Linked DNA regions of Stegostoma tigrinum. The protein of the gene in region 1 binds, or shares a complex with, the protein of each later gene. Links are inferred from orthologs where the notes say so. Each region holds a gene or a part of one and is shown on either strand. Other genes may lie near its edges.

Region 1 (10,567 bases):
CCAGAGCCTGACCACGTACAAGGTATTTGAAACTCCGTGTGTGTCTCTCTGTGTCTCTCATATCCAGGTCTGCGAGGCAGCGGTGCTGCTACTGCTCCGCCTCAGAGAGGCTCAGCCTTGCTCGAACCTGCCCAGTGAGAGCCTGCACTGAGCGAGTGGTGAGCACCATCGAATCTCTCTCCCTCAGCTTGTGGGGGCAAGACAAGGGGAGGTCACCGTCAAGAACACACTGCGCCCTCGATATGTTTGGGATCTGGGAAACAGGTGATCTTGGAGAATTCTGTATCTTGTTTTTTTAACTTTGGGAGGACAGTACGGAGTGATTTTTTTTTAACTTTTGAAGAAAGTTGGTGGGTAAGAAGCTTCAGTCCTGGCTCCTTCAGGATGAAGAATCGCCCTGTCCCGGTGGGACTCTCTGATATTTGCCATCGGAAAGAGCCAGTTGTAACCAGAAGGTGGCAGTTCTGAGCTCCTTTGGAGAGACTCAGTGAGTGTGTGACCCCCGTGAATGGCAGGCCCAGAAAGAGCCAGTGCTGAGCCGGAAGATGGGGGAACGTTGTCAGCTCTGAGCGTCAGAGAGCATTATCTGGGCAGGACCGAGACTGCACTGAGCGGTATTTATGTGGCTTGTTGTTTGTCTTTGTCTTGAGTAGCGTAGACACTGAACCCCGCGGAGAACATCCCAGGAAGGACCCACTTCCCTCTCCACCCCATCCTTCTAAACCTGCTGCTTGTCTGAAGTCATCGTGACACGTGCTCTTGTGATCGTCTGTTTGCATTGAATGTGTTTTGTTCAAGAACTTGACATTGTACAATATTCATGTACTTTTTCAAATAGAAATAAAGACTTTTTTTAAAAAAATATGTTAAGTGCTTACTCCTGTAAGTGTCCTCATTTAGCCCTTGGGGGTGGGTTTGGTCAATGTGGAGGGGGTGAATGACTTTAATAACATGATCTGGGAAGGATCAGGCCTCTTTTTCACTTACACCTGATATTTCACAGTCTAAAACAAGGTTTGTGGTTGCACTCCCTGCTTAGTATTTCATATAAAACCTGCTGTTGTTCCTCAGCTTGAACTTCAGCCTGAGACCCCTGTGATCTCTGGGGACGTGGTGTGCAGGTGTGTCGGTGGTCAGAGGTTGGTGTCCCCGACGGTCAAGATCCAAGATCTTAGTCTCGATGCGTGCCAGGGAAGGGGCTGGTTGTTCTCCCCTCTGCTGTTTTTGGATTAGATTGTGTTTTTAGCAGGCCAGGAGGCTGCTGATAAATTGCTAACTTGGTCAAACAGCAATGGATGCTGAGTGCATTGGCCAAGTGAAACTCTGAAATCACGAGGACACGGCAAACACAGCAGCCTGGTGCTGATGACGTGAGCCGAATGTAAAAGGCAACAGTGATCCTGGACAGAGACATCCCCAAAAAAGTGTTGTAACATTAAGGGGCCAAATGGGATAAAAGAGAGTATGTTTAGCATTAAAGCTGATTGCAGTTTCGTTCCGAATAAAGTGGGGTTGTTTTCCTTTGGTACTGGCTTGTGTTTGTAGTGATCTGACCACTGTGGGGCATCTGGACAAATTATGTTCAAAACATTCTGGCTGCATTCTGTAATTTGTTTAAAGAAGAACAGTGGTAATGTCTTTGCAATCCAGACCCTCCAAACGAATGCTCTGGGGACAAGGGATCAAATCCGACTATGGCAGCTAGTGATATGTTAGTTCAGTTACAGAAGCTGGACTGAAGATCTAATCTAATGTCGAACGTTGATAACCAACAATTTGTCCTGAACTTCCCACATAGAGGCGACAGTCAAGAAAGCAAAACAGCACCTCGTCTTCCTCGGGCAGCTCAGGAAATTCAGCATGTCCGTGAGGACCCTCACCAACATTCACAGATGCACCATTGAAAGCACACTGTCCGGGTGCATAACAGCCTGGTAATGGGAACTGCTCCGTCCAGGACCATAAGAAACACCAGAAGGTGGTGTGCAAGCCCAGACCATCACAGAAGCCAACCTTCTACCCATGGACTCCCATCCACATTTCTCATTGCTGTGGAAAGGCAGCTGATGTTATTGAAGACCCCCCTGCCCCCCGCCACATCCCAACCCCAGTTCTACTCTCTTCCAATCTCTTCTGTCAGGCAGAAGATACAGAAGCTTAAACACGCATGCCAACAGGTTCTAGAACAGCTTCTTCCCTGCTGTTATTAGACTGCTGAATGGACCTCCCCAATTTCAAATCTAATGTGTTTCGGTGCACTCCTATACAGCTGTAACCCTGTATGCCATGCTTTGTTTGAACACCCTGTGGTCTGTATGTTACGATCTGCCCCTACTGCTCGCAAACAAAACTTTTTACTGTGCTTAGGTACATGTGACAACAATAAATCAAGTCAAACCATTGTCCGTTGATGATGAACAAAAACTCATCATGTTCACTGATGTCCTTTAAGGAAGGAAACTGCCATCCTTACCCAGTCTGGCTGACGTGTGACTCCGGACTTGCAGCAATATAGTTGACTCTCAACCCTTCTCTATGCATTTAGAAGACATCCCGTAAACAGATACATCAACAGTTTTCAGCCCTTCATTTCTGCAGAAGGACCTTGACCTGAAATGTCAGCTTGCCTGCTCCTCCGATGCTGCCTGGCCTGCTGTGTTCATCCAGTTCCACATTGTGTTATCTCAGACTCCAGCATCGGCAGTTCTGACTGTCTCGAAACAGTTTTTAGCTGTTCATCTGCAGCTCCAGTCTAATTACTTGTTTAAAAAAAATAGTGATAGCAGGTGAAGAATTAGTTTCCAAAATGGATCGTTGGACAGGCTGTGCTTGAAGTCTCGGAAGTGGAAGGGGATGGATTTAGTGGCAGATGCACCAGACTAAGCAGGGTTTCCTCAACTACTGACTCAAGAGGGATTGAAAACGAAAGCAAGGATCTTGAAAGTAGAGCTAAGGGAAAAAATGAGACCTATAGTTGTTGAAAATGCTTGAGCTACAGGATCTTCGATCACCTTAAATCTGTCTGCTGCTTAGGGTAATGAAACATCTGCTAAGTAATGAAGCAGCTCAGCGAGTGAACGAACCACAGCATTCACAACCTGAGCTACAAATCTACTCAAGAACCGGAGAAGCTGACTCAGGAGCGGCACAGTGGCTCAGTGGTTAGTATTGCTGCCTGACAGTGCCAGGGACCCAGGTTCGAATCCACCCTTTACGTGGAGTTTATATGTTCTTCCTGTGTCTGCATGGGGTTTCTGCCACTTCCTTCACACACTCCAATGATGTGCAGGTTATATGGAATGGTCATGTTGTAGTGTCCAGGGCTGCACAGGCCAGGGATACGGTGGGGTCTGGGTGGGATGTTCTTCCTGCGGACTTGATGGGCCAAACAGCCAGCTTCCACACAGTAAGGATTCTACAAGGAAACCACTTGCAAAACCTATTCTTGATGGAGACAGGAAGGTATGCACAGGGAAGATGACGTTCGATGACAGACCTTCATGGGGGAACAGCACCTCTCTGACCTTGCAAAGATAGGCCCAAGCTGAAATAGAGTGGCATTTAAGGACAGTGAGCTAGGATGTGGTGTCTAAAGAGACATAAGCATTTAATCTGTACTTAACAAAAGAGTCTGGCAAATCGATCATACGCACTGGACAGCTGGCCATTAAAGGTCAAGCAAGCATTATAATCACTTTATCCGTGACCATAATACTAAGGTTTTATCTGAAATTATCACTTTGTAATACACTAGTACCGAAATAAAAATTAACTGTAATGGTTCCCAAACAATATTGATTTGCATTCAGAATCTCCCTTTTGCCTAACTAAGGATGGATGAACATAGGCAAAAGGAATAGATTAAAAATGGGAGATTTTTTCAGTTTTGCATTTGGCAAGTCTCCAACAGCAATTATAATTCAAGATTCCATATTTGAATGTGTTAATTTTTAATGCCAAAAGGTCATTTGTGAAAGGGTTTAAGACTGGATTTTCAGAATTTTACTTTTCTGTGGTTTATTTCCAAGTTTCATGTTGACTATTGTAGGAAAAGTGGACAGGTTAGCACTGAGAAATGGTGAACTGTAAATGTGACTATTACAGAAATGATCCTTTTTGTTTGCATAGTGCCAGAGACAGTCTACTTCTTAATCTAATCTGTCATTGCCTGTGGCCAATAGCAACAAAGGGCAATGTACTCGTATTCATTTTCCACAGTGAGGAATGATGCATAACCACTTGGGTAAGGTTTTAATGCAAACAGCTGTATTAAAACACTGAGGAAGGAGATTGCGCTTAGGCACAATTGAGGATATGTTCCTGCATTCATGGCCATTGTAAGAATCAAAGGAACCTTCTCTCTATCTTCGAGACACTACATTCCAGATAATAATTTGCAGCCTGCTCCTTCTGCTAAAATTCTCTTCACTCTCCATATACATTATTGAATAATGTCAAATTTGACCTAATTTAATGAGCAGCAAAGTTATCCACTGGCTGAAAGATCACTTGAGGAATAAGGTTCTCATTGTCACCCTGTCCTAAGATTTCAGGGTGAAGGGTTACAGAAAATCAGGTTGTGATCAGAAAACCGAAGAACTGTACAGCACGGAAACAAAACCTTCGGTCCAACTGGCTGCAGCACAGACACCAGAACTGAATGCAGTGTTCCAAAAGTGGCCAAACCAATGTCCTGGACAGCCGCAACATGACACCCCCAGTCCTATACTCAATGGTTAGAGACAAAAAAACTAGAATCTGGAATCCAAGGTGGACAAACAGGAGGCTGGAAGAACACAGCAAGCCAGGCAGCAGCTGGACGAAAGGAGAAGTCAACATTTCCGATATTACCCTTCTTCAGGACTGAGGGCCTGGCTTGTTGTGTTCTTCTGGCCTCCTGTTTGTCTATCCTTTCCTCAATGCACTGACCGATAAAGACAAGCGAACCATCGCCTTCTTCACTACCCCGTCTCCCTGTCACTCCAAAGAAATCTGAACCTGCACTCCCCCACGGCATGACCGTGAAGTGTTTTAGAGAAACAAAAGTCGATACACAGTTAAGTTTTCTATGTTTTTTTAAAAAAAATTCACAATTCAGTCACGTTCAGGGGGATAACAAATCGAAGGAAAACAACACACAAACTTAAGGACAATGCAATGGGATGGGCTGGACTAGTTTCCCTTCGTCAGGCTGCAGACAGCTACATCCGCCTGGAAGAAAGATGGCGACGATTCCAATGGTCACAGGGGTTCGGCGTGGGGGACGCGGCCTTGTCTGCGCGATGACGTCAGACGTTCGGCGAAGCGGGCGTCCTCGCGGTGCGGTGAGGTTACCGCGTTCGGGACGTGTGTCCGGATGTCAGTCAGGAGGCGGGTCCACGAGGCGTCGGGCTGCGCGGTGACGTAAACGATGGGGGCGGGTCCCGTGCGCGATGACGCCAAACGTCGCGGCCGTGGCGGGAGTTTGCAGTTGAAGCCTCGGGTCTGCGTGAGTGACCATGTCCGTGGAGGTGATGGTGGGTGGAGAGGGCCTTGACGACGAGGAAGAGGAGGAGATCCTGACCCCGGCGCAGCTCATTGCAAAGCTGGAGGAGGTGAGGGGGGAAGGTGGGGTTAGGCCTTGGTCGCTGCACAGTAAGATCCCACACTGAGCACGGGCTTTTCCTCCTGACTCCCCGCAGACCCTGTCCCACCATCGACAAGTCAGGAGGGCGATGGAATACCCCCCACTCGCCCCGGATGGGGGCAGCTCCAACAACAGTCGAGAAGCTCAACACCATCAGGGACAGAGCAACCCCCCCCCCACTCGATTGGCGCCACATCCTCAACCATCCCACTCCCCCACCCCCAGCACTCAGAGTCACAGCAGTGTGTACTGTCTACGAGATGGACCTCAGCAACTCACCGAGGCCCCTCAGGCAGCACCTTCCAAACCCACCACCCACTTCCATCCAGAAGGACAAGGGGCAGCAGGTACATGGGAACAGCCCCCCAAGCGGGTTCACCCTCTGAGCCCCTCATTTCCCCCCTGACTTTGGGAAACATATCGGCCGTTCCTTCAGTGTCGCTGAAACCCTGGAACTCCCTCCCTGAGGGCACCGTCCCCTACACCCCATGGGCTCCAGTGGTTCAACAAGGCGGTTCACACCCACCTCGAGGCCTGTGAATAAATGCTGGCCCGGCCAGTGACACCCACACCCTGTGAATTTTGTTTTCAACGCATCCCTTTCGCTGGTAGACACTTGTTGTTGGTTTGTTCCTGAGACCACCCTGTCCCTGCACAGCAGAGGCTGAGAGTTTTCTCTGTCAGATTTATCTCAGGAATTCCTAGACTTAATTGTACATCTCACATTGATTCCAGTGTTTGGTGGTGTGCTATCTTCACGCATTCAGACTTTGCAGAGGGTGTAGAAAGTGAGGTAGTAATGGGGTCATGGACTATATTATGTTCGATTATCCTGATGTACTTATGGAAGTTATGATGTGTCCGGTTACTCCCATTAACCAGTATTTTTTGCTGTATCTCAATACATGTGACAATCATAAATTGAATCAATATACCTGATATGTAAAACAATAATACTGTATCTGTCTGCAGTCTAGGTTTTGATCGCTCTGTGATATTCAATTTGGGATTGTGTCTGCTCCTCTTACAGTTACTGTCCGTGCCTGTCTTTCATCTCTATACAGGCGTGGCTGAATGAGAAATTTTCCCCTGACCTTCTTGAACATAAGGCTGAAATTGTGGAGTGTGTCATGGAACAGCTGGATCACATGGTAACAGTTTTGTATTTTTCGTTGGGGGAGAGGAGGTGACACCTGTTCGGTGCAGTTTTGAATTTGCGATTGACGGGCACGACCAGAATCTGATTTCCCTGCCAAATGAGATGATAACGATTTGCTGTCCTGGAGTTACCTGGCAGTGCAGAAATTGATTTTTGCTGAGTTACTCAAGTCATCAGGACGTATGCCAGAATGCCGAGTTTCAAACAGTCATAATGATTTCTTTTTTTGGGAGAAAAGGGAGTTGATCAGTTGGCATGTCAATTCTGACTGGTTACAATGTCAACATGGTGAAAGCAAGGGGGAGCAAGAGTTCCCCAACGTCCTGGATAACGCAATTAACTCCGCAAAGGCCAGTATCCCACCACCAAGTCACCATTCATTTACACGTGCATAGTATATGACACTGAGCCGGTTAGCTCAGAGCCAGCTCCTAGAGTGAGCAGAATGCCTAAAACTCCTGTATATGTCTGTCAGCTAGGTCATATTCTGTGAGGTCCACCTGGCTGACCTTGTTCCAATCATTTTGAGTGCAAAGTGGTTCACGGTAATCGCAACTTTGCAGTCATGGCTCACCTCTCAACCTCCTATGCTCCAGTGAAAAAAGGCCTTGCCGATCCAGCTTCTCCTTATAACTCAAACCTTCCATTCCCGACAACATCCTGAGAAATCTCTTCTGAACGCTCTCCAGCTCAATAACATCCTTCCTATAACAGGGAGACCATAAACAATGAAGTCAGCTGTGCTAAACACCTTAACCATCATGTGTACATGTGACGCGAGCTTTGAAAAATTATGTACCTGCATCCCTCTGTCCTACAACACTACTCAAGGCCCTACTATTATTTGTACAAGTCCTGCCCAAAAGTGCAATACCTCGCATTTATCCAAGTTAAAATCCATCTACCATTCCTCAGCCCATTGGCCCAGTTGACCGAGCTTGCTTTGTGATCTCGGATAACCCTGTTTACTGTTCACTATACCACCAATTTTAGTGTCATCTACAAACTTACTTAAGATGCCTTTTATATTCTCTTTAAAATCATTTCTATAAATGACAAATAAACGTGGACCCAGTACTGATCCCTGTGGAACACCACCGGTCATGGCCCCCTGTCTGAAAAACAACCCTCCACCACCACTCTGTCTCCTGACATTAAGCCAATTTTGATTCCAATTGACAAGCTCACTCTGAATCTCATGTGATATAACTTTTCCAATTAGTTGATCATGCAAAACCTTGTCAAAGGCTTTACTAAAGTCCAAGTAAACAATATCTACTGCTCTGCCATCATCAATCTTCTTAGTTACTTCCTCAAAAAACTTAAATTAGTGAGACACAGTTTCCCTCGCATTAAACCATGCTGACTATCCCCAGTCATTTCTTGCATCTCCAAATGGATGTAAATCCTACCTTTCAGAATCGCCACCAGCAGCTTAGCTACCGCTGAAGTCAGGCTCACAGGTCTGTAGTTCTCAGATTTCTCTCTGCACTCCTGCTTAAACAGAGAAAGGAATCTGCAGGGCTTGAGGTGAAAGAGCATAGCCTGAGTCTAAAACTGGAGAATTTCACGACAGAGCCAGTGTCAGTACAGTGGGCCGAATGACACAATCGGGTGCTGGTTGTGTTCTCAATGTGACAGCAGCTGTATGGCAGAGGACTGTAACAACTCTCTTGTGACACCTTTTTAAAAAAATCAGTGAGGCAAGTCCCATCCAAGACCACGATCCATTTGTAAAAACTGACAGATGTAGTGAAAACCTCAGAGAGGATTGAAACGCAGTGCAGGGTAAGACATTGTTTTTCCTGAATTGTGAATGAAGACCGAATACAGTAATTTGAATATGTGCAAAGCAGCTGGAGCACATGCAGACCCAGGCTGTCTCTGTAATTTGACCTGGATTAACAGGACAGACTGGGATTTTTAACCCTGTGTGTCCAAATTATATCCCAACTATGAAGATCTGCAAAACTGAGGCCGTGACCCAAGTGTTTAGATCTTCTTTGTTTTGGCTGCCTTTAGCCAAAGTAGAAGGACAGGCTTTATGTGCCTTAAACCGAGGGTTCTGGTGGTTCACCATACCTACCTTTCAATCCTATTCGCAGGAACAGAACCTACAGCGAGCGAGGAAGGGAGATCTGAAAGTCACCGCCCACCGAATGGAGACTGAGAGAATTCGCTACGTCCTCAGCAGCTACTTGCGATCCCGTTTGCAGAAGGTACACGATCCACCCCAAAGCACGAAATGGGAGGGAGGAGAGCTCTGTGAGTCCATTCAAAATCCATTAAGGCTTTGGCTTGTGGACGTGAGTTGGGGACATGACCGGATATGATGGGGTTAGTGCGCCCAATGAACACTGTGCTTCTCCTGTACACTTTGAGGGAGGGGTGAATGGTGTTTTTAGTGTGTTTTTTATATAAATGTGTGTGTGTGGATGTGCATGGTGGAGCCAACATTTCTTGCTCATATCTCTTTGCCCCCAGAGAAGGTGGTGATGAACTGGACATTGCAGTCCACGCAGTGTAGGGGCAGCCCACAGTGCAGCGGTTTGGTACAGCTGAGCAGCTCACATGGCCATTTCAGGCACCTCTGAAGAGTTCACCATATTGCAATGAGTCTGGAGTGTAGTCCAGACCAGATAAGGATGGCTTTCCCTGACAGAATCTGCTGTTACCATAATCCAACAAGACCTGCGTTCGATTTTGGATAAATTAATTCTCCCAACTTAAGACTCCCCAGTGCTGCGTGAGATTTCAGTGTAAGCCTCTGGACAATTAATCAGATTGCGCAGCCAGGACCAGTGCCTCTCAGTTCTGAACTGGATCTTTTGCCTGAAAGTTTGCTTCTAATTTTAAGTTGTCCAGAGGACATAAGCTGTGTTTTTTTTTCTATAATTCTTAGATTGAGAAGTTCTTCCCTCATATCCTGGAGAAAGAGAAATCCCGCCTCGAGGCAGAGCCTTCCTATTTGTCTCCGCAAGAATATGCTTTTGCAAAAGAGTGAGTGCACTATGGATTTCAATCTGGCTTTGACCGGGAGCTGTCGATGTTGAGGTTGATCAGTTTGTATTGGGTGAGGGAGCGATGGTCGGGAATTGGATTTTGAATCAACCGCCTTCCTGCTGTTCCTTGGAGTTCAGTCTCACTCCTCTCATTCAAACCCCAGGCAATCCCTGCTTTCAGCAGCTCTGAAGGTTTCGGGTTTGTTTTTTTCCGATCTATGGATGCTAAACAATCGGAATGTACTGATCCCTCTCTGCTCCCTGCTTCACAACAAGAAAATCCCAATTGACTCTCGTTCTGGGCAGAACATGCTGATCCCTCCCTGCTGTCTACAGAAAAATCCCCCTTTGTTCTCAGTCTGAATCGCTGAAAATCCAGACGCCTTTTCGAGGTTCCACTGGTGGGGAGCTTGCTTTGATTGAATGGAGTGAGGACAGCTGTTTTACCATGGTATCTCTTGGGGAATCCCTGAGGTGGCTGAAATCGGGAGCTTTGATGCTGTCAGTGGGCCCTACTGCTTATGTTTTAAACCTGTCGCTGAAATTGAACAGGAAAGAAATGCGACTTTTTGAATGGAGGGTAGGTGGGAATTTTGTCATGGATTGGAAGTCAGGTCCATAAAAGCCTCTGAAAGGTCAAGGGATAATTATCTGGAAAAGGGACTAATTGAACATGCTTAAAAAAGTGCAGGGAGAGGGAGGAGACAAGACGGTGTGGAGCTGGAGGAACACAGCAGGCCGGGGAACAGGAAAGTTTCCTGCTCCCCGCCCATCTGTGTT
Region 2 (11,304 bases), on another chromosome or scaffold:
AGCAGCTTCCACCCCTGCTGGCTACGTCCAGGCCGGTCATCCTAGGCGGAGACTTCAACTGCATCGTTGATGCAGATGGAAGATCCGGCGTGGGGACAGCGGGTGGGGGGAGTCAACTGGACGTCACGTCCAGATTCCTGATCGGCACGGTGAAGGATGCCAAGCTGCTCGACGTCTTCAGCACCCCTGCAGACGGAGCGCAGCAGAGGTACACCTGGTCGGGGCCAGACGGGTCTATCCGCTCAAGGATAGACTTCCTGTTTGTGTCACGGACGTTCTCGGTCAGGTCCACCGGCGTCGAGCCGGTGTTCTTCTCTGACCACTGCCTCCTGCTGGCCGACTGTCACTTACAGGACGACCAGCCGGCCGGCAAGGGGACGTGGAAGCTCAACACGACTCTGTTGACCCCAGAGAACGTCAAGGAGCTTAAGAGGGAGTACGCCGGTTGGAGAACCGTGAAACCCCTCTTTGAGTCTCCAGGCGACTGGTGGGAGACAGTGAAGGAGAACATCAAGAGGTTCTTTGTCCTCAAGGGTGTTCAAAAGGCAAGAGAGAGGCGGGGAAAGCTGTCGCGACTCCAGAAAAGGGTGCAGAACCTGCTCCTTCTGCAGTTGATGGGGGTCGATGTCACGGAGGACCTCCGCGAGGTGAGGGGCCAGCAAGCCTCGCTCTTCGCCGTGGAGGCCTCCCGAATAAACTTCCGGTCCAGGGTCCGCTCCGTGGAGCAGGACGAGACGTGCTCGCGTTTCTTCTTTCAGAAGGTGCACAAAGAGAGCTCTGTGCTTAGCCGGCTGAAGGAGGACGACGGCTCAGTGACGTCGTCTCGGCCCGACATTTTGAGGATCAGCAGATCCTTCTATGCCGGACTGTACGACACGAAGCCCACGGACAGCACGGCCTCCGAGTCGTTCCTGTCGTCTATCACGAAGGTCTTAGACGACGGCACGAAGGAGTGGCTGGACCGGCCGATATCCCTGGACGAGCTGACCAGAGCCCTCAAGTCCTTGGAGAGGAATAGGACTCCCGGAAGCCACGGCCTACCGGTCGAGCTGTATTCCGCTCTGTGGGGCCTGGTCGGCCAGGACCTGCTGGAGGTGTACGATAGTGCGCTTCGGGCAGGGGAAATGTGCAAGTCCGTGAGGAAGGGCATCATCACCCTCATTTACAAGAGGAAGGGGGAGAGAGAAGAAATTAAGAATTGGCGTCCCATTTCACTTTTGAACGTGGACTACAAAATCCTGGCCAAGGTCATAGACAACCGGCTCAGGTCTGTCCTGGAGCCGGCGATTCACCCTGACCAAACCTGTGCTGTGCCGGGCAGGAAGATCGCTGAGAGCCTCGCGCTCATCAGGGATACGATCGCCTACGTACAGGACAGGCGGGTGGACACCTGCCTTGTCAGCCTGGACCAGGACAAGGCCTTCGACAGGGTCTCTCATGCTTACATGAGGGACGTCCTCTCCAAATTGTGGTTCGGGGAGGGCATCCGCAATTGAATCCGGCTGCTCTACACCAACATCGTTAGTGCAGTCTCGATCAATGGGTGGGAGTCGGACAGTTTTCCTGTTAGATCTGGAGTCAGGCAGGGCTGCCCACTGTCTCCTGCCTTGTTCGTGTACTGTGTGGAGCCCTTTGCCGCTTCCATCAGGAAGGACGTGAGCCTGAAGGGCGTGACTATCCCAGGCAGCGGAGGCCTTCAGGTCAAGACCTCCCTGTACTTGGACGATGTCGGCCGTCTTCTGCACCGATCGTCGGTCGGTGAGTAGACTATTGGACATCTGCGGCCAGTTTGAACTGGCCTCGGGTGCCAAAGTCAATAGGGGTGAGAGCGAGGTCATGTTCTTCGGGAACTGGGACGACCGCTCCTTCATCACCTTCACCGTCAGGACAGACTACCTGAAGGTGCTGGGTGTTTTGTTTGGTGGAGCTGGGGCATGCAATAAGACTTGGGAGGAGCGTATCACCAAATTGAAGCAGAAGCTGGGCAGGTGGACGCTCCAGTCCCTCTCCATCGCGGGTAAGAACCTGGTTGTCAGGTGCGAGGGGCTTTCGGTACTGTTGTATGTGGCACAGGGCTGGCCTATTCCCTGGACCTGCGCTGCTGCAGTCACCCGGGCCATCTTCCACTTCATTTGGGGGTCGAGGATGGACCGGGTCCGCAGGGACACCATGTACAAAGACCTGGGAAATGGGGGAAAGGGCGTACCGAACGCCACCCTTGCCCTGACGGCTACCTTTGTGTGCGGCTGCATCAAGCTGTGCGTAGATCCTCAGTACGCAAACACCAAGTGTCACTACTTACTGAGGTTCTACCTGTCCCCAGTGTTGCGAAGGATGGGCTGGCCTCGTTGCCGCGGAACGCTCCGAGTAGATGGACCGTTCCATACCACCTGTCCTTCGTGGAGAAATTTTTGAAAGGAAACACCTTTGACCACAAGGCCGTCAGGCAGTGGTCAGCACGTAGTATCCTTGGGACCCTTCGGGAAAAGGAGAGGGTGGATCCCGTCATGTGCTTCCCCACGCAGACTGCCAAAGTCGTTTGGCGGAATACCTCATCGCCAGAACTTTCAAACAAGCACAAGGACATTGCTTGGCTGACGGTGAGAGGGGTTCTGCCAGTGAGATCCTTTATGCATGCCCGGAATCTCTGCGCCACCGCACGCTGCCCTCGAGGTGGCTGCGGGGGGGATGAGACTGTCGATCACCTCCTTCTGGAGTGTGCCTATGCGCAGGAGGTCTGGAGGGGGATGCAGTGGTATCTGTCGAGGTTCGTCCCGAACAGCTCCGTGTCGCAGGACTCCGTGCTCTATGGGCTGTTTCCGGGGACGCACACCGAGACCAACATCAATTGCACCTGGAGGACCATCAATGCGGTGAAAGACGCTCTTTGGTCTGCCCGCAACTTGCTGGTCTGCCAGCTGAAAGAACTGACCCCGACTGAGTGTTGCAGACTGGCGCACTCCAAGGTCCAGGACTACGTGCTGAGGGACACGCTAAAGCTTGGGGCAGCCGCCGCCAAGGCGCGGTGGGGAAAGACCACCGTATGAAATCCCTCGTCCAGAATGGAAAAAAGGGCCCTATCTGGTAACTGGGCCCAGCTGGCGCTTTCCCCAACTGGTCAGGGGGGCAACGGGAACTGTGCGGGGTGACGACTGCCGGGGTGTTTTCTTTGCTTTGTTTTTTTTCCTTCTTTGTTTTTTTCCTTCAGTTGGTGTATGTATCCCCTGGGTAACCCGGAGCGGCTTGCATGACTGGGTAGGTGTGTAAATATGTTTTATTTTTTGTACACCTTACGAATAATGTATATTTTTTCAAATAAAAAAAAGTGACGAAACGTCTGAAAACTAACCTTCCAGCTCAGCGAGCAAACTCACATCCAGAACCTCAACCTGAGCTACAAATCTTCTCTCAACCTTGAATAGTATTTGGGGCTCATATATAAGCCATAATGGAGATATCTTGGGCATGGAGTTTGAATGAGGACTGTTGAAGTAATTAAATTATTGTCAGCCAAATAGTAGGGGCATAAACAAGCCAGTATTGGAGGTCCAAAGTACGTGACTGTATTCTACAATCACAGAATCTCTACAGTTTGGAAGCAGGCCATTTAGCCCATCGAGTACCCACGGACCCTCCGATGGGCATCCCACTCAGACCCACACATTACCCCATCTCTGTAACCCTGCACGTCCTACAGCTAATCCACCGAGCTTGCTCATCGGCAATTTGGCATGACCAATCACCTAACCTGCACATCTGGAATGAGCCTTCACAAAAGAAGTCTGGAGGTTTTTGTCAATCTTCATCCCGGGTAGCTCCGTAACACGGGATTCTGTGCTCTACAATCTGTCCCCGGTACGCGCACTAAGACAAACTTCAGTTGTGTCGGGAGGATTTGGTGAAAGATGCTATTTAGCCTGCCCAAGCCTTGTTGGTCTTTCAGAACAAGTTGACCCCAACCAAGAGTTGCAGACTGGCACATTTCAATGGGGTCCAGGACTACATGTTCAGTGGCGCACTAAAGCTTGAGGCCAAAGCACAGCGGGGAAAGGCCAGTTTGAAGTCTTCCTGCTAAAGGTAAATGGGGGTCTGTTCAGTTATGGAACCCTCCTAATGTGTCAAATATATGTGAATATTAATACTGTATGTGTCGTCACTGTATTTGTACAAAGATTTTTTATGAATACTGTATATTTTTGAAATGTAAAAAATATATCTGGAGGCAGAACATAGTGGCCGTCACTACAAAGAAATTGCTTGGGAAACTGAAAGTTCGAAAGAGGGATAAATCACCTGAACCATATGCATTACACCCCAAAGGTTTCTGAAAGAGATAGCTGAGGAGATTGTGGAGGCATTGTGCAAGTATTATTTCAGGAATCACTGGAGACAGGAAGAGTCCCACTGTTTAAGAGAGGGAGGTAGAAGAAAGGACACTATATGCTATTTAGTTATTGGTCAGATTTTAGAATGCATTATTAAGAATAAGGTTGAGGAGTACTTGGAAGCTCGCAGTAAAATAGGGCTGAGTCAGCATGGCTTCAAGGAGGTGTCATGCCTGACAAACCTGTTAGGATTCTTTGGGGAGGGACCAAGCAAGTAAGACAAAGGAGAGCTGGTGGATCTATTTGAATTTTCAGAAAGCCTTTGGCAAGATGCCCACTGGAATCTGCTAAATAACAGCCCACAAAGTTAGGGGTGAGGTACTGGCATGGACAGAGGATTGGCTGACTGGCAGAAGGCAGAATAAGGTGGTCTCTTTCAAGATGGTGGCCAGTGACAAGTGGAGTTCTATAGGAATCTGTATATATTCACATTATACATTAACAATCTGGACAAAGGAACTCCAGATGTTGTTGATAAGTTTGTAGATGAGACAAAGATAACTGGTGAGATAGGTAATGTTGGGAGGCTGCAGAAGGTCTTCAACAGCTCAGAAGGTACATTCCATCTGTCACTCCTTTGACCAATGTGGGAAAGTGTGAGGTCATGCACTTTGGTACGAAGAATGCAGGCACAGTATATTTTCTAAATAGAGAAAGACTTTGAAAATCTGAAGCACAAATGGACTTGGAGGCCACAGAGTCAAACAGCACAGAAACAGACCCTTCGGTCCAACTCACCTGCACCAACCAGATATCCCAATCCCACCTAGTCCCATTTGCCAGCATTTGGCCCATATTCCTGTAAACCCTTCCTATTCATGAGCCCACCCAGATGTTTTTTAAATGTTGTAATTGTATCACACCACACTCTCTGCAGCCTGGGGCCCTGTATCTAAGGAAGGATGTGCTGGCGTTTACATGTTTACAAGAATGATTTCTGGGATGATGAGCTCATCATATTAGAGGCAGTTGAGGGGTCCCGGTCTGCATTAGAGGAGTTTAGAAGGATGACAGGAATCTTCCTGCTCTGAGAGTTTCAGGATAGTGGGCCTGTAGAAGAAACTTCCATGGCACGGCATCAGACTTCAGAACCCTTTAGAACAGAGATGGGAATTTCTTCAGTCAGAGAGTGGTGACTCTGTGGAACTTATTGACTGACTCAGAAGGCTGTGGAGGCCAAGTCATTGGGTTTTGATTAGTATGGGGATTAAGGATTAAGGGGAGAAGGCAAGAGAATGGGATTGAGATGTATATCAGCCCTGACCAAATGTCAGAGGAGATTTAATGGGCTGAATAGCCTAGTTCTGTTCCTACACTTCTTATTTCATGTCTAATTTGAACAGTCTTTGAAAAAACCTTGGTGATTTGGTAGCATGGGATATGAATATCAGCTCTTGGTTGATCAACACTGTATGCCCCCATTTTGTCCTGTATCATTCAATGAGCGGGCAGGAGATGATAATAGTGGCAAGTCAGCTTTACTCTTCTTACTTAACCACTTTCTATTTCTGAACCAATTAGTCCTCCAAGCTATCACTCACATATTTCCAATCACCTTTATTATTCAGATTAACTTAAAAGTACATCCCAGGATAAAACAGTTGCCCTGATTCTCAAGATTGATGAAACCATTGCTCTCCTAGCACAACATGCTGTGAATGTACAAGGTACAAACACTAAGTCTGCAGTGACACCAAACTGGTGTGGTAAAAAGTGAGGAAGAAAGCCTTTGAATAGAGAATGATAGAGCCAACCTGGTCTGGCTGAACTATGGTAAATGGGTCTGAAGTGTGACAATGCATTTTTAAGAGCACAAGCATGGCAAAGAAATATGTTGAACGGTGAGCCCCTAGGGTGTTCACAGAAGCCTTGGTGTGCATGTACATAGATCCTCAAACGCAGCAGAACAAGGTGAGGTGGCAAAGAAAGAATACAGGATGTAAACAAAATTGCTGGAGAAACTCAACAGGCGCGGCCGCATCTATAGAGAGAATGAAGTTAATGTTTAGAGTCCAGTAACCCTTCAGAAGTGCAGTGCAACCAGGCCTGAGTTTCCCCAGCAGTCTTTTTGCTTCAAATGTTCAGCATTCATAGTTCTTTGTTTTTACTTAAAGGAATGTGGGCTCCTTGCCTTTATTAGTCAAGGCAATGTAGACAAGGGTACGAGGGGGCTCCACGGGTCTTGAGGGAGCTGTTTTTAACGTTAGTCAGGACACAGCGCTGTGTACAGTTGCGAGCAACCCACTGCTGGAGGGATGTGAATGCACTGAAGACAACGGAGAACAGATTTACCAATATATTGCCGGGCCTGGAGCGCTCCAGCTATGAAGATAGAGACATCGGGGTTGGATGCTTTAGTGGGACACCAGGAGCTAAAGGGTATTTTTATTCCATACTATAAATAACTGCGAGAACACTCACAAAAACGCTGCGCAGCAGCTGAACGTTTCTGGAACACACTCCGACATGGGCTGCAATACGCCTGCGCGGAAATTTCACCCACCCCCATTTGGGCGGGGCCAGTAGTACGCATGCGCTCTCGCTCGGCGGGAAACCTCCAACTGTTCGTTCGCGCGAAATTTTAAAAATATTTTTCCTCCGGCCGCAGGGACAGTGATATTTCACTGATTTTGTTTTTATTTTTGAAAAGAGGAGGATGAAAACAAGGAAAGATGCTTCATTATTGCTTTTGAATATAAATATTTAAGGGGAAGGTGAAACATCTGGTTGTCCAACAATATATCGATTAATTCCTGGATTTCGCCTGATTTTTTGACCGGGTTTTAAAATGTCGGTGGCCGTACAGCTGGCCGGTTATTCGCCCAGTTTCAAGAAGCCGTCTGAAACGCTGAGGCTGAGGAAGAAGCGCGCTCGCAGCTCTCCGCGGCTCGGCCTTCCCTCGGACTCTCCGACCCCGACCGGCAAAGAGCAACCGAGACCCTGCGGCAAGCGGCAGAGGAGGGCAAGGAACCCGTTCGTCAACATCGGCAACACCGTGACCCGTCCGGGGACCGGGACCAGCTGGCCTGAGGAGTCCGACAACCCGCTACACCGCTCACTCTCCGCCCAGGAGTGGAAAGTCCCGGTCTCCGACGGCAGAACTGAATCGGCAAGTAAACGGGATGCATAGGTTTGAGATGTTGTCATCCGATTTAGAGAATGTGATTAAAGGCAGGGTTATTGTTTTAATAATCAGCGTAATGTTTAGCATGTTCCGGATCTGCAGTAGCTCAGTACTGCTGTCCTTTTAGAAGCAAAGTAATTAACTTGTTGACGCCGCTGTACATAGTTATTCCTAGACGCTGGAGGATCTGCCCTCATGGTCCACTTGCGCCATTCATACGCACCCACTTCTTTAAAAGTTACTTCCAGTTCACTGTGAGGGGTTTGAATTTATTTCTACTCTGTAGAATGACTTTTTTTTGAAAAGTTCGACACTAGGGCTTGACCGCTTGCGTTTTGGAGAACTGCTGGTTTGAAATTGTGTCGAGCCCGCAGGAGGGCAGTAGCTCAGTAAAGTAACTGGTCCCGCTTATCAATGTTCACACGAGAAAGAAATAGCCTTATCAGCATTACAACTGTTATAGGCAACGGGATGAAGATTGGCAACATTAGTGGAAAGAAGAACGAGTTAACGCGGAAACTCACTGAGCTTTCCTTTTTCTTTATTCGAGTGTCAACTACAGTCGAATAAGGTTTTCGACTTAACTGCAGGAGTTGTTGGCCAGGAGTCTAGGAAAAGACGCTGTTAGCAGTGGTCGTATCTTGGCTGATGATGTGTTTGGAGTACATGTTCCTAAATGACAAACAGGTTTCTACCTCCCGGATAGAATGGTTTCCTAGATCGTGCCCTGTTCTACGTATTGCCATTTTATCTACTCTGACCAGGAAGAGGGGCAATCAAGATGTGCCTGTATCGAAATCAACGTATTGTTAATTTCTGCACTGACTACTATCAACATTTCAAAGCCAAACACCAAGGGCATGAAGTTTCGGAAGAGTTTGGATTTCTCAAAGCTGGAACAAGCGCTCGAGGAAGAATCACATTTGCCCTTGTGCTCAACATGTGCACTCCGTTGCATTGAGGATGAGTGGGTGACTCAACAGAGGTCCTTGTCGCTACTTCTGCCACGCTTTGATTTTTAAAAACAAATAAGCAAATCCAGAATCTACTAAAGACAACGTTACCTCCTGCGTGACAAGTCATCGCTATCCAAAAAGGGCTACTAAAAGGCTTGGAAAGCTGCATGATACTTTGAATCAGCAATCAGATGATTTTCAGTCTGATGATAAAGGCTGGAAGAAATTCTACAAAGCTCTGAATTCTGTCCACTCGATGCTTCACCAAGGTTCTGAAGGATTGTCATTGCTCACTAAAACAGCCCATGTTCCCGAGAGATGAACGCGTTATGTAAAACAATTCTCCAATTGACATTCAATGAAGAAGCAGTCAACAGGTTTTCCCTGGAAGCCATCGGTGTGTCGATGCTCCCAAACTACTTAGTGACACTCAAACTGCTGTCCAGACCAAAGCTGATGCAATCCTTATTGACTCAATGTCTGATTAAGATGTTTGCTGAACTCATTCCACTTATGTGGACAAAATGGACTATCTTGCAAGCATACAAAGATGCCTTTTTCACCTGAACAAGAGAAAAGAAATGCACAAATCTTAGGGCAATCATAGCATGGTGTTTACAATGAAACCAGGCAGCTGCATAAGAAATGCCAAGAACAGAAGATTGACTTCTTTTGCACATATACTGATCTGACCCAGAACTCTAATGTTGTCAGCCAGGAAGATCTTTGGGACCTAATGGAGAAATTCAACTGCCTTAAGAAATTGCTTACAAATTTTTGGTAGTTCGAAGAACAGCATGTTCTTCTATGGATGATGATGACTCTTGTGATCAATTTCTAGTTACTAATGGAGTTAAGCAGGCTGTAGTGTTAGCACTAATTCTTGATTTTTCTCTGCCATGCTCTCTAGTCTGTGACAGATCAACTGAAGAGTGACATCTGGGTATGTAGAACATATCTGGAGAACCTTATCTAATCAAGAAACACCACTAACAACAAATACAATTTGATTATGTAAACTGTTCCTTTTTAGTTGTTAAATAGTAATCCCTGTTGAAGAGGTTGAACAAATATCTGACCTGAAAATATTGATCAGTATTCTGCTCACTTCATGATGGTCGGTTACCATTATAATACAGAATGATTTCTTGTCAGTTGCCTTTTTAGAGTGTTTGTTGCCACTGACAATGCTGCATTTTGGCTGTACCCATTTTGTATGCTGTCAAAGCCTTAACAGATAGGAATACCTTTCAGCTAAAGTTCAGGGTTTGCATGAAGAAGCAAAGTTTTTTTTTGTTTACTGACCTCTGTTCTGAGCATGCATTCTGGAGGGTGTCCAGTAAACTTTTGATTTACGTTGGCCATGTAATTATTCAGGGAAAGGATTTTTTTTTAAACTACCGATCTGCTAGATCCTGCACTCCACTCAGTTCGAACTAAATTTGAAGTGCATAGTCTGGTACCAAAATGTTGGATGATAGAACCAACAATTGGCTAGCAAAAGCAAGTTTGATTAGATTCGCTCCAGTGTGGAAACAGGCCCTTCAGCCCAACAAGTCCACACCACCCCTTGGAGCATCCCACCCAGACCCATCCCCCTATAACTCTCACACCCCTGAACACTACGGGCAATTTAGCATGGCCAATCCACCTAGCCTGCGCTTCTTTGGACTGTGGGAGGAAACCGGAGCACCCGGAGGGAACCCACGCAGACACGGGGAGAATGTGCAAACTCCGCACAGACTGTTACCCGAGGATGGAATTGAACCCAGATCCCTGGCACTGTGAGGCTGTAATGCTAACCACTGAGCCACCTTGCCAAACTTTCCTACTGGCTTTGGAGAAAGCTTGTCTCAAAGCAAGTATCTAGCTATGAGTGGATCTTGCATCATTTTTCTCTACACCAGTAGGAAAGAAATAACTTTGCCTCCCCTCGAGGCAACTTGATACATTCACCCTTTTTTGTTTTTGCTGCTTTAATCTATCTGCAGCATAAAGCGCCAGCATAAAATCTCAAACAATAGAGTTTGTTTGCAAGATATTTCTAGATACCTATATAAAGTGCATGCATGTCCAGAACTCAGCTCCACTAGCTGGGTGGTTAGTTTCTGTATACCAGTCTCCTGAGGTTGATAACATGCCAGAGGGCATCCCAAATTCATTTAAAGACTTTCTTTTTAAAAAATCTTAAATTAGATCCCACTGCCTGGGGTAAGATTGAATCAATGAAATGTCCACATGGAGAAATCTCCTCCTATTCAAGGAATCCCAACATGTGTGGAGAACAAAGTCAGGTCCTTTCAGAGTAAGCAAGCACATCACAAAGCCACTGGTTTCACAGTGACATTGCACGTAATGTTTGAAATCCAATCTGTGAATCAACATTTAATCTAAAATCAAAAAACGGCATTGACCTACACAGTAACATTAGTCTTGTTGCTGAACACTAATTTGTCGAAACAACAATGAGAGAATCTGCCATTGTGATGGAGATCAAAAGGCAACTGAATAAAATGAGGGAAATTTGATGTTTTGCAGTTAAAAGCTTACAACACCATTGCCACTTGGTTTTCTTTAAACTTACCAGTTGCGTTTCTAATTTTGATTCCAATGGAAGTTCAGACTCTTAATTCATCTGAAAAATACCCATGGAGGATTATTTCAGTTTACTATGTAAATTCCACCCCACATATGCACTGAAACCAAGCAGTGAGCACTGTGCTAGAAGAGACAATCCAGTATTTTAAGTAAAGAGAGGTGTATAACAAGGCTGTGTAACTATTGCCAAAAACTATTCAATCTGCATACAGAACAAATATTCAGAGTTAGATGTACCTCC

What was found. The genes of interacting proteins can lie anywhere in the genome.
Region 2: the proteins of gins4 (region 1) and protein downstream neighbor of Son are in contact, whole or in part, in a cryo-EM structure (PDB 8Q6O), measured with the Xenopus laevis proteins. The link is inferred for Stegostoma tigrinum from reciprocal best matches to the Homo sapiens genes GINS4 and DONSON. Residues at the interface, in NP_001084702.1 of Xenopus laevis: Leu19, Thr20, Pro21, Cys51, Glu54, Gln55, His58, Asn62, Arg65, Ala66, Lys67, Lys72, His76, Asn179, Leu181, Pro184, Thr186, Asp187, Glu188, Tyr192; in XP_041437004.1 of Xenopus laevis: Tyr8, Ser9, Pro10, Ser11, Phe12, Lys13, Pro15, Ser16, Ile18, Leu19, Ser22, Thr167, Arg168, Arg245, Arg469, Val471, Glu488, Thr490, Tyr518, Thr519.

Annotation. Positions count from the first base shown.
Region 1 is NC_081393.1:15,622,491-15,633,057, reverse strand, and holds the start of gins4 (DNA replication complex GINS protein SLD5), read left to right. Parts: upstream 1-5,421; 5' UTR 5,422-5,498; coding exon 5,499-5,594; intron 5,595-6,690; coding exon 6,691-6,777; intron 6,778-8,890; coding exon 8,891-9,004; intron 9,005-9,687; coding exon 9,688-9,785; intron 9,786-10,567. Other genes in the region: chmp7 (charged multivesicular body protein 7), read left to right, coding at 68-138. UniProt on the Homo sapiens protein: Required for correct functioning of the GINS complex, a complex that plays an essential role in the initiation of DNA replication, and progression of DNA replication forks.
Region 2 is NC_081365.1:23,191,888-23,203,191, forward strand, and holds the start of protein downstream neighbor of Son, read left to right. Parts: upstream 1-6,933; 5' UTR 6,934-7,173; coding exon 7,174-7,494; intron 7,495-11,304. UniProt on the Homo sapiens protein: Replisome component that maintains genome stability by protecting stalled or damaged replication forks.